2 linked regions of the Macaca mulatta genome follow. The protein of the gene in region 2 purifies or fractionates together with the protein of the main gene of each other region. This does not show direct contact. Links are inferred from orthologs where the notes say so. Each region holds a gene or a part of one and is shown on either strand. Other genes may lie near its edges.

What was found. The genes of interacting proteins can lie anywhere in the genome.
Region 1: the proteins of NUP133 (region 2) and NUP85 purify together in Homo sapiens (affinity purification with mass spectrometry; 5 studies listed by BioGRID and IntAct, with this or other methods). This does not show direct contact. The link is inferred for Macaca mulatta from reciprocal best matches to the Homo sapiens genes NUP133 and NUP85.

The regions. Positions count from the first base shown.
Region 1 is NC_133421.1:84,893,638-84,898,978, reverse strand, and holds the start of NUP85 (nuclear pore complex protein Nup85), read right to left. Parts: upstream 3,498-5,341; 5' UTR 3,456-3,497; coding exon 3,423-3,455; intron 805-3,422; coding exon 711-804; intron 1-710. UniProt on the Homo sapiens protein: Essential component of the nuclear pore complex (NPC) that seems to be required for NPC assembly and maintenance. As part of the NPC Nup107-160 subcomplex plays a role in RNA export and in tethering NUP96/Nup98 and NUP153 to the nucleus.
Region 2 is NC_133406.1:19,558,136-19,562,859, reverse strand, and holds part of NUP133 (nuclear pore complex protein Nup133), read right to left. Parts: intron 3,596-4,724; coding exon 3,448-3,595; intron 2,492-3,447; coding exon 2,334-2,491; intron 211-2,333; coding exon 119-210; intron 1-118. UniProt on the Homo sapiens protein: Involved in poly(A)+ RNA transport. Involved in nephrogenesis.

The sequences.
Region 1 (5,341 bases), on a different chromosome or scaffold from region 2:
AGAAAATCAAGCCAAGGACAAGCTATGTCACTCTCCAGCTCCATCTGTGCTTTGGATGCTAGCTCAGCCTACAGAACTATTATTCAGCTGAATCCATGCTGTGGACACAAAAGTGATGGCCAAGCATCTGCAAGGTTCACAATAAGGAAGCTACTGAGGAATTTGGTCACTTTGGACAAAGAAAAACAGATAAAAAGCTTGACATTTTAAATATGAAGAAAATTTTTCATGAAAACTACTGTTAATTTTTTTCCAGGATTCAACATCTTCAAGATCTCAAAAATCAATGAAAATCTAAAATAGCTAACATTTCAAAAATAAAAATGCCAAAATGCAGCAGGATCACTCGAGGTCAGAAGTGTGAGACCAGCCTAGGCAACAAAACGAGACTCCCATCTCTACAAAAAAAAAAAAAAAAATTAGCTGGGTATGGGGGCACGGTGACCTGTAGTCTCAGCTACCAGGAAGACTGAGGTGGAGGATCACTTGAGCCCAGGAGGTAGAGGCTGCAGTGAGCCATGATCGCACTGTACTCCAGCCTGGGTGACACAACAAAACCCTGTTGTATCTTGAAAACAAAATAAAGAAAATTAAAATGGTACAAAACAAATTCAATTGTTTCAGTCCACAACTAGTCAAATCTGAGGTAATAAACAGAAAAACAACCAGATGTACCAAGATGGACAATTTGGAACAAAAAAAACCCCTACCTTTTTTGCTGAAGGAGGTTTCACACACCAGCATCTCCCCTGGACCCCAGTCAAAACACATTTGGTTCTTCTTGGAATTCACACCTGGAATCACCTAGTAAAATAAGACATAGAAATCTAAAATGAAGAATGTTCTTCTTACTGAAGTCGTTCTATTCTTTTTTTTTTTTTTTTTTTTTGAGACAACGACTCACTCTGTCTCCCAGCCTGGTGTACAGTGGCACAATCTCAGCTCACTCCAATCTCCGCCTCCTGGGTTCAAGGTCTTCTACTGCCTCAACCTCCTGAGTAGCTGGGACTATAGATGTGTGCAACCATACCCGGCTTTTTTTTTTTTTTCATTTTTAGTAGAAATGGAGTTTCACCATATTGCCCAGGCTGGTTACAAACTCCCGAGCTCAGGTGATCCACCCGCCTCAGCCTCCCAAAGTGCTAGGACTACAGGCGTGAGCCACCGTGCCCGCCTGGCTGAAAAACACTTTCCACCATGCCGGCCTGGCTGAAAAACACTTTAAGTGAAGAGCACAGCTGGTCCTGTAATAACATTGTATCCTTCAATAACATTTTCTTATAACACTAGTAAGAAAAATTCATTTTGTGCTGGGCACAGTGGCTCCCACCTGTAATCCCAGCACTTTGGGAGGCTGAGGTGGGCAGATCATCTGAGGTCAGGAGTTCGAACTCTTTTTTTTTTTTTTTTTTTTTTTTTGAGACGGAGTCTCGCTCTGTCGCCCAGGCTGGAGTGCAGTGGCCAGATCTCAGCTCACTGCAAGCTCCGCCTCCCGGGTTCCCGCCATTCTCCTGCCTCAGCCTCCCGAGTAGCTGGGACCACAGGCGCCGCCACCTCGCCCGGCTAATTTTTTGTGTTTTTAGTAGAGACGGGGTTTCGCCGTGTTAGCCAGGATGGTCTCGATCTCCTGACCTTGTGATCCGCCCGTCTCGGCCTCCCAAAGTGCTGGGATTACAGGCTTGAGCCACCGCGCCCGGCCAGGAGTTCGAACTCTTGTTGCCCAGGCTGGAGTGCAGTGACGCGATCTCACGATCTCCGCTCACTGCAACCTCTGCCTCCTGTGTTCAAGCGATTCTCCTGCCTCAGCTTCTTGAGTAGGTGGGATTACAGGCATGCGCCACCACGCTAGGTTAATTTTTGTATTTTTTTTAGTAGAGACGGGGTTTCGCCATGTTGGCCAGGCTGGTCTCGAACTCCTAGCCAGGTGTGGTGGCTCACGCCTGTAATCCCAACACTTTGGGAGGCTGAGGTAGGCGGATCACGAGGTCAGGAGTTCAAGACCAGCCTGACCAAGATGGTGAAACCCCATCTCTACCAAAAATATAAAAATTAGCTGGGTGTGGTGGCACGCACCTGTAATCTCAGCTACTCAGGAGGGTGAGGTAGAAGAATCGCTTGAACCTGGGAGCCAGAGGTTGCAGTGAGCTGAGATGGCGCCACTGCACTCCACCCTTGGTGACAAAGTGAGACTCCGTCTCAAAAAAAGAAAGAGGCCAGCCGCAGTGGCTCACACTTGTAATCCCAGCACTTTGGGAGGCCGAGGTGGGCAAATCACGAGGTCAGGAGATCCAGACCATCCTGGCTAACACGGTGAAATCCCGTCTCTACTAAAAATACAAAACAAAATTAGCCGGGCGTGGTGGTGGGCGCCTGTAGTCCCAACTACTGGGGGAGGCTGAGGCAGGAGAATGGTGTGAACCCAGGAGGCCGAGCTTGCAGTGAGCCCAGAGGGGCGCCACTGCACTCCAGCCTGGGCAACAGAGCGAGACTCCGTCTCAGAAAAAAAAAAAAAAAGAAATGAAACCATCCCTCTACCTACCCTGAGATGAATGCATACATAAATTTTTCCTCTACTCCCTCTTTTCACAGGTAAAATGCAGATTTACTGAGGCTAATCAGAGACTCACAAGAATGTAACCATTTGCCTCTTCACTGCCTAACCTCCCTTTTTTGCCCCTCCTGCTAGTTCCTTCCTCTTTAACTACTGATGTTCCCAAAACCATCTCTGGAAAAAGCACAAGTCTCAGATCCTCCTGGGACCTGTGTTTTTTCCCGGTTGGATCCTCAACCTTAGCTAAATAAACCTTCATCGGTTGAGACCTGCCTCAGTCAGCGGTTAACAAGAGAAAGAGGGAAAACAAAAGCATTCCAAGTAGCAGAAACGGTAGGTATGTCGCACATAAAGTCCATGAATTTTTTTTATACACATCACAGATCATCCACAGTTGACATACTCTCTTCAAAGTTCAAATGGAATTGAATGCACAGCGATAAAATATGAATAGTCTCCTGAGATAATACGTTTAATAAACCTTAGGTCACACAAGCAGAACTCAACGTGCCGCGATGCAGAGCTTAATATGGCTGGAAGAAAAACATAAATTCCTCTGCTTGGGCTGAACCCACTCTAATACCCAAGAGGAAATGCGAGGGAAGTAGAAAGGTCAGCAAGACAAAAGAAGGAAAGGGACGGACTGGGACCTTCGAGGCCTGGCTTTGTGACTGGTGGCAGAAACCCCGCGACCACTACGACCCGAGGTCGGGCACCTAGTTAACACTGCGACCTCCGGAAAGTGGCAACTGAATCAAGGGAAGGGGACGAGAGCCTCGCAGCCAGTAGGGAAGCAGACAAGCCTGAAGTAACGAAGCAGACGCAGTTCTCAACCCACAAGGACGATCAAGCCTGTTCGGGGTGCCCTTACAGTGACTGCTGGCTCGCCATCGAGCTCCTCCATAGCGCCGAACCCCAGGCTCTGGGAAGTCGCCGGGACGTCAATGCTTCCGGCTCAGGCCTCCCGCTCAGAGCTGGCTGAGAGACAGGACCCCGCCTGGGCGCCTCCTGCAGCGCCTGCAAGCCCAAACCTTCAGTGCTGCGGCGCTCTCTTCCCTCAGCCACGGCCACCCCTCTGCGGTCCTCTGCGCGCGTCCTTCCTTCCTGGCGTCGACAGCAAGTCAGGGAAAACAGCGCCGAGGACGGACTGCACTCACAGTACCGCGCTAACGGGATCAGGCGGCGCCGCGGACACCCTGGTGCCGAGCGGAGAGAAGGCCCCCGGAGAGGGCGGGCGGGGCAGGAGGAACCCTTGGCCAGAGACGGTGCGACTGCGCGTGCGTAGGCTGGGGCGGCGGCACCTGGGTGGGAACTTGTGCCGGACTGAGGTCCCAGTAAGCCTGCAAGCTTTCCCAACTCTGGGAGTCCTCGCTCCATCCTTATCTCCACCTTAGTGTCGTAGCAGCCACTTGTCCAAACCCAGTCAAATGGGCTTGTGCTGGAAAGCAGTCGCCGTCACTCCCACACTAGAACACACACAAGAGGCACGGGGAGGCCGGGCGCGGTGGCTCACGCCTGTAATCCCAGCACTTTGGAAGGCTGAGGCGGGCGGATCACAAGGTCAGGAGATCGAGACCATGGTGAAACCCCGTCTCTACTAAAAATATAAAAAATTAGCCGGGCGCAGTGGCGGGCGCCTGTAGTCCCAGCTACTCGGGAGGCTGAGGCCGGAGAATGGCGTGAACCCGGGAGGCGGAGCTTGCAGTGAGCCGAGATTGTGCCACTGCACTCCAGCCTGGGCGACAGAGCGAGACTCCGTCTCAAAAAAAAAAAAAAAAAAAAAAAAGAGGCACGGGGACAAAATCGATGCTCCTGAAGGATTAGAGGCTTGAGGTGGCTCAAGCCTCTAATCCCAGCACTTCGGCAGCCCGAGATGGGCGGATCACTGGAGGTCAGGTGTTCAAGACCAGCCTGGCCAATATGATGAAACCTCGTCACTACTAAAAATATTTTAAAAATTAGCCGGGCTTGGGCAGGGTGCGGTGCCTCACGCCTGTAATCCCCAAACTTTGGGAAGCCGAGGCGGGTGGATCACAAGTTCAGGAGTTCGAGACCAGCGTGGCCAATATGGGGAAACCCCCATCTCTACTAAACATACAAAATTTAGGCCGGGCGCGGTGGCTCACGCCTGTAATCCCAGCACTTTGGGAGGTCGAGGTGGGTGGATCACCTGAGGTTGGGAGTTCGAGATCAGCCTGACCAACAGGGAGAAACCCTATCTCCACTAAAATTACAAAATTAGCTGGGCGTGGTGGCGGACACCTGAGGCAAGAGAATCGTTTGAACCCAGGAGGCAGAGGTTGCAGTCGGCCGAGATCGTGCCACTGCACTCAAGTCTGGGTGACCAAAAAAAAAAAAAAAAAAAATTAGCCGGACTTCGTGATGGGCGCCTGTAATCCCAGCACTTTGGGAGGCCGAGATGGGCGGATCACGAGGTCAGGAGATCGAGACCATCCTGGCTAATACGGTGAAAACCCGTCTCTACTAAAAAATACAAAAAACTAGCCGGGCGAAGTGGCGGGCACCTGTAGTCCCAGCTACTCGGGAGGCTGAGGCAGGAGAATGGCGTAAACCCGAGAGGTGGAGCTTGCAGTGAGCCGAGATCCGGCCACTGCACTCCAACCTGGGCGACAGAGCGGGACTCCGTCTCAAAAAAAGAAAAAAAAAGAAAATAGCAAAATTATCCAGGTGTGGTGGCACATGCTATAGTTCCAGCTACTCGGGAGGCTGAGGTTGGGGTGATTGCTTGAGCTCCAGAGGCAGAGGTTGCAGTCAGCCGAGATCCTGGCA
Region 2 (4,724 bases):
TCCTCTTGATAGCATCATTCCTCCAACTTGCTCCCACCAGTCAATAAATAAGTAGCACATGTCAGTAAAACATGTCCTCACACATAAAATAATCCATAACTTAAAAAACATGTTATACCTGCAGTATTGCAGAAAGGCAGCTTTCAGCAACTTGATTTTATCTTCCTGGGCTATAGTTTCATTCTTTGTAGTGGTCTCAAAAATCATACTCTGCAAAATAACAAAGTATAGTTTAGAGGTAAAGGCATCTGAATATTCTTAATTATTGGACTAAAAACTGTACCCATCCTATGACAGCAACTCTGCATATACACAAGCGGTTTGCCATATTGTCTGTACCAGGGGTATGCAATCTTTCGGCTTCCCTGGGCCACATTGGAAGAATTGTCTTGGCCCACACATAAAATACACTAACATTAATGATAGCTGATGAGTTTTAAAAAAAAATTCATGTTTCAAGAAAGTTTACAAATTTGTGCTGGGCTGCATTCAAAGCCATCCTGGTCCACATGCAGCCCATGGGTCGTGGGTTGACCAAGCTTGGTCTATACCAGTCATTCATATACTTATTGAAACACTATAAATAGCACCAAATGATCAACCAGTCATACAGAAAAGGTACAGGTAATTCGGGGATTATGCTGTAAGTAAAACAATTTGGAGATTTCATCACAATTAACAGAATCTTTTTATAGGTTTGCTCTTACACGACTCACCACCGTGTATACTACCTAAGCATAATGGTTGATTACAAATTTAAACAAGGATTTAGAAAAATTTTAAAGAAAAGGAACACTAAAATTGCTTCAGAATGTGTAACAGTATTACAATAACCATACAATTACAAAATAACCAAAGTATTAATCCTTTTTGTGAAAAGAAAAAAAAGTAAAAAATTGTTACTTTCCTTTAAAACTAGACTCAATCATTTTAATTTTGAATTATAGAGGTAGTCTATATATTTCATACACTATTCAAATGGAAATTACCCCAAACAGTATTAATTATTTTTAGTCTTCTGTAAAAGAATGATAAAAACCTCATGGATGGGATATTTCAGGTTTCAAGACAACAGGAAAAAAAATTGGTAATTTTTACCTGGCTATTCCTCTCAAAAAAATCATCCCAGAATAAAAAGAAACAGAAATACAAGTTTCATGGAAATATCTGTGATTCTAACTACAACAAAGGAAGACAGAAAGCAGAAGGAACAGGAAATGGCAGCACTGACAGGAAATGAGGCCACCTATGCATGGTGCAGGGACAGCTCCCAAGGATTTGAGGACCGTGGAAGAGAGAAGTTCCGGGATGACAGCTGTGCAGATGGAAGGTTTGTGGAGACTTGACTTTGGGAAAAACCACACTGAGGGGCACTCTACAGAACTCCCGGAGTGTGTAAAAAGATTAAGTCACATATGAAAGGAAAGTGAGAAAATATAAAATGAGGTCATGATACACTCCAAGAGTCACACAAAGTTGTATAATAAAGGAAATGTAATCAGTATTTGGCTCAGCAAACCATAAACAATATTCACATTGTCATTACAATGGAAAAAATGTATGTTAGAATGATAAAGGCAGAGGAAGGAGTATAAGGTAACCCAAAACCTCATTTTCTATAGTAGAAAATCAACAGATGAATCAGGAGACAGGAATATATGTACATTACTTAGATATATGGAGAAAAATACCAGAATAAATCACTAAAAGGCTTAAACGTAGTTGCTTCAGGCAAAGAGGACAGAGGGGATGAGGAAGACAAGAAGAACTAATGTCTGCATTGTTAAGTCTTTGAAACTGTCTCAGTGTTGAGACCATTTGTATAAAATAATCTGATAAAAATAAAAATTAGGCTGGGCATGGTGGCTCCATGCCAGTAATCCCAGCACTTTGGGAGGCTGAGGCAGGAGGATGCTTGAGCCCAGGAGTTTGAGACCAGGTTAGGCAGCATAGGGAGATCCTGTCTCTACAAAAAATAAAAAATTAGGTGAGATGGTGCATGTCTGTAGTTCCAGCTATTTGGGAGGCTAAGAGGGGAGGACTGCTTGATCCCGGGAGGTTGAGGTGAGGCTGCAGTAAGCTATGATTATGCCACTGCACTCTAGCCTGGGCAACAGAGTGAGACTCTGTCTCAAAAACCAAACCAAACCAAACCAAAATTAGCCAGGCACCTACTGGGAAGTCTGAGGCAGGACGATTGCTTGAGGCCAGGAGTTAGAGGCTGCAGTGAACTATGATTGTGCCACTGCACTCTAGCCTGGGTGACAGCGTGAGACCCTATCTCTAAAAAATAAATAACATACAAACTTCAAAATCTTATAGAATCACATTACCTCATTGTTTGGTCCAGCAAATGAAGATGCTAAGGACTCTTCCAGGTCTTCTGCCAATATGGACACATTTTCCCGTGAAGTAATAGACACCAGTCCACTGTTTCTAGAAAAAATGATAGGAACACCACCACAGGCACCAGCACCTAAAACACTATCTCCTAAAAGAAAGAAAAACATAGAGTCAAATACATTTAACAAGAACAACAAAATGCTTTGTAAAACCTACCACCCTGGGCAGAAAATCATCTTGATGATATATTAAGCACATTTTTTCCTTTACAGTATTATTCCTACTTCAAACTCATCCTTTAAATCCCAGAATCAAATGTTAAGAACCGGCTGCTGTTTGAAGAAGCAGGCTCTGTGTCTTTCAGCTTTAAAGACAACAAAAACTAGCCTTGCCAGAGAGCAATCTAGTAAGCCAAAAAAAAAAAAAAATTATTCATTCTGCAAAACTTAGAAGAGCTTTTTCAATCCTGTGGAGTTCTCTTGCTTAATTCTGACTTTAACTTACCACATCAGTCAACGGGGACTGAAAAAAAAATAAAAAAGTCTAAGCCTACCTTGCGCCTTAGTAACAGCCTACCCACCCTCCATCAAGGTTCTTGTGCTGGGACTAGAAAACCTGGGTTCCATGCTGTTAAACCTGGGTTCTATGCTGTTGCCTACCTGGACTCTGTCCTCTGCTCAACCCCTTCAGCTAAGTATCTGCTTGGTTTCTCTTCAATCCTGACTGGCCCCCCTGCACGAGTCCAGCACCTGAGGCTCTTATCCAGGGGTGTGGAAAAGTTAAAGAGCATCAACTCAGAATAAGTCACTTTTACTAACTAGGAATGAGCAATTACTTCTCTTGGCATTAGTTCTTTGCTTCTTGGCATCTTCTCCTGGAACAAATGTTACTATTTTTGCCTGTAAATATAATAGTTTGGAAATTCTAGTACCCTTTTGGTTTCTTAGTAGGGTTGTCACTTCAGCTGCTGTAGTTGTGGTATGAAATGTCTCAGAGTAACATTTGAGGGCAGCATGCTTGAAGTGACACTCAGGAAAAGAGAAAAAAAGCACTCAGAATGACTAATGAGCTCACCAATCATGCTTTCTAAAACTGCTACCATACCTTGTGCATTAAAGACAATTTTCTCCTGGGGAAGAGAAAATTTCCCAGTTCCTGTGGAGCACACATAGACAGCACTTTCGTTATACAGATAGGCAGTCTGGTTTGAAAAGTTTGGGACCGTCAACCGACACAAAATCAGGTCTTCAGACTGAAAGTTAAATTTAAGATTACATTTAACAAAAAGTAAAACAAAAATATTTGTTTGTATGATTTTTTAAATTCATTTTTGTACATTTCATAAAAATGATAAAATAATTCACCTATTTTCTTTCTAAAAATCTACCCATGAGATGATTAGCAAAATGTTACAAAGTTTATAAACATCAATTAGACATATATTTTGTTAACTTGCTTATTTTTAAAAAATTTATTTATTTATTTATTTGAGACAGAGTCCCACTCTGTTGCCCAGGCTGGAGTGCAGTGGTGCAATCTTGGCTCACTGCAACCTCCGCCTCCCAGGTTCAAGCGATTCTCCTGCCTCAGCCTCCTGAGTAGCTGCGATTACAGGCGCATGCCACCACACCCAGCTAATTTTTTTGTATTTTTAGTAGAGACAGGGTTTCACCATGTTGGCCAGGCTGGTCTCGAACCCCTGACCTCAGGTGATCCACCCACCTCAGCCTCCCAAAGTGATGGGATTACAGGCATGAGACACCACACCTGGCCTAATTTGTTAATGTCCAAAATTAACAAATTTTGAAAACATTTCCATGATGATGACTATAACTAGAAGCCTATGACAAATTCAAGGGAGAAAATGAAAGCACTAATTCATTGTATTAAGAACTGGCAATTTTTTATAAATGATCCCTGATAAACAAACATTTTGGTTCTTACCTTACTGGCAAGATATTAATGACAAGAAAACTTAGTTGATTTGTTTACATATAAAATCAGAGGCAGAAAAAAAAATAGAATATGCTAAAAATAAGCTGTTATTAAAGAAGTAATTTTATAGAAACATTAAATGCGAGGTCCTAGAATTGTTTTTTAATCCTCAAATTCTCTTTATAGTCTTCTGCCCTGGCTGAATTTTTTTCTAACATTGAGCATGTTTTCCACACTGCATAATCAGAACACACAATAAAGTTTATTTCTGTTTGACATAAAAGAACAAATCAAAAGATTTTCTTACAGGATTCAATTAAACAAGTCATGTTAAGAGTAAGGATTAAAAAAAAAAAAAAAAAAAAAGTGAAGATTTAAGCCAGGAACGGTGGTGCACACCTGTAATCCCAGCTACCTGAGAGGACTGCTTGAGCCCAGGAGTTGGA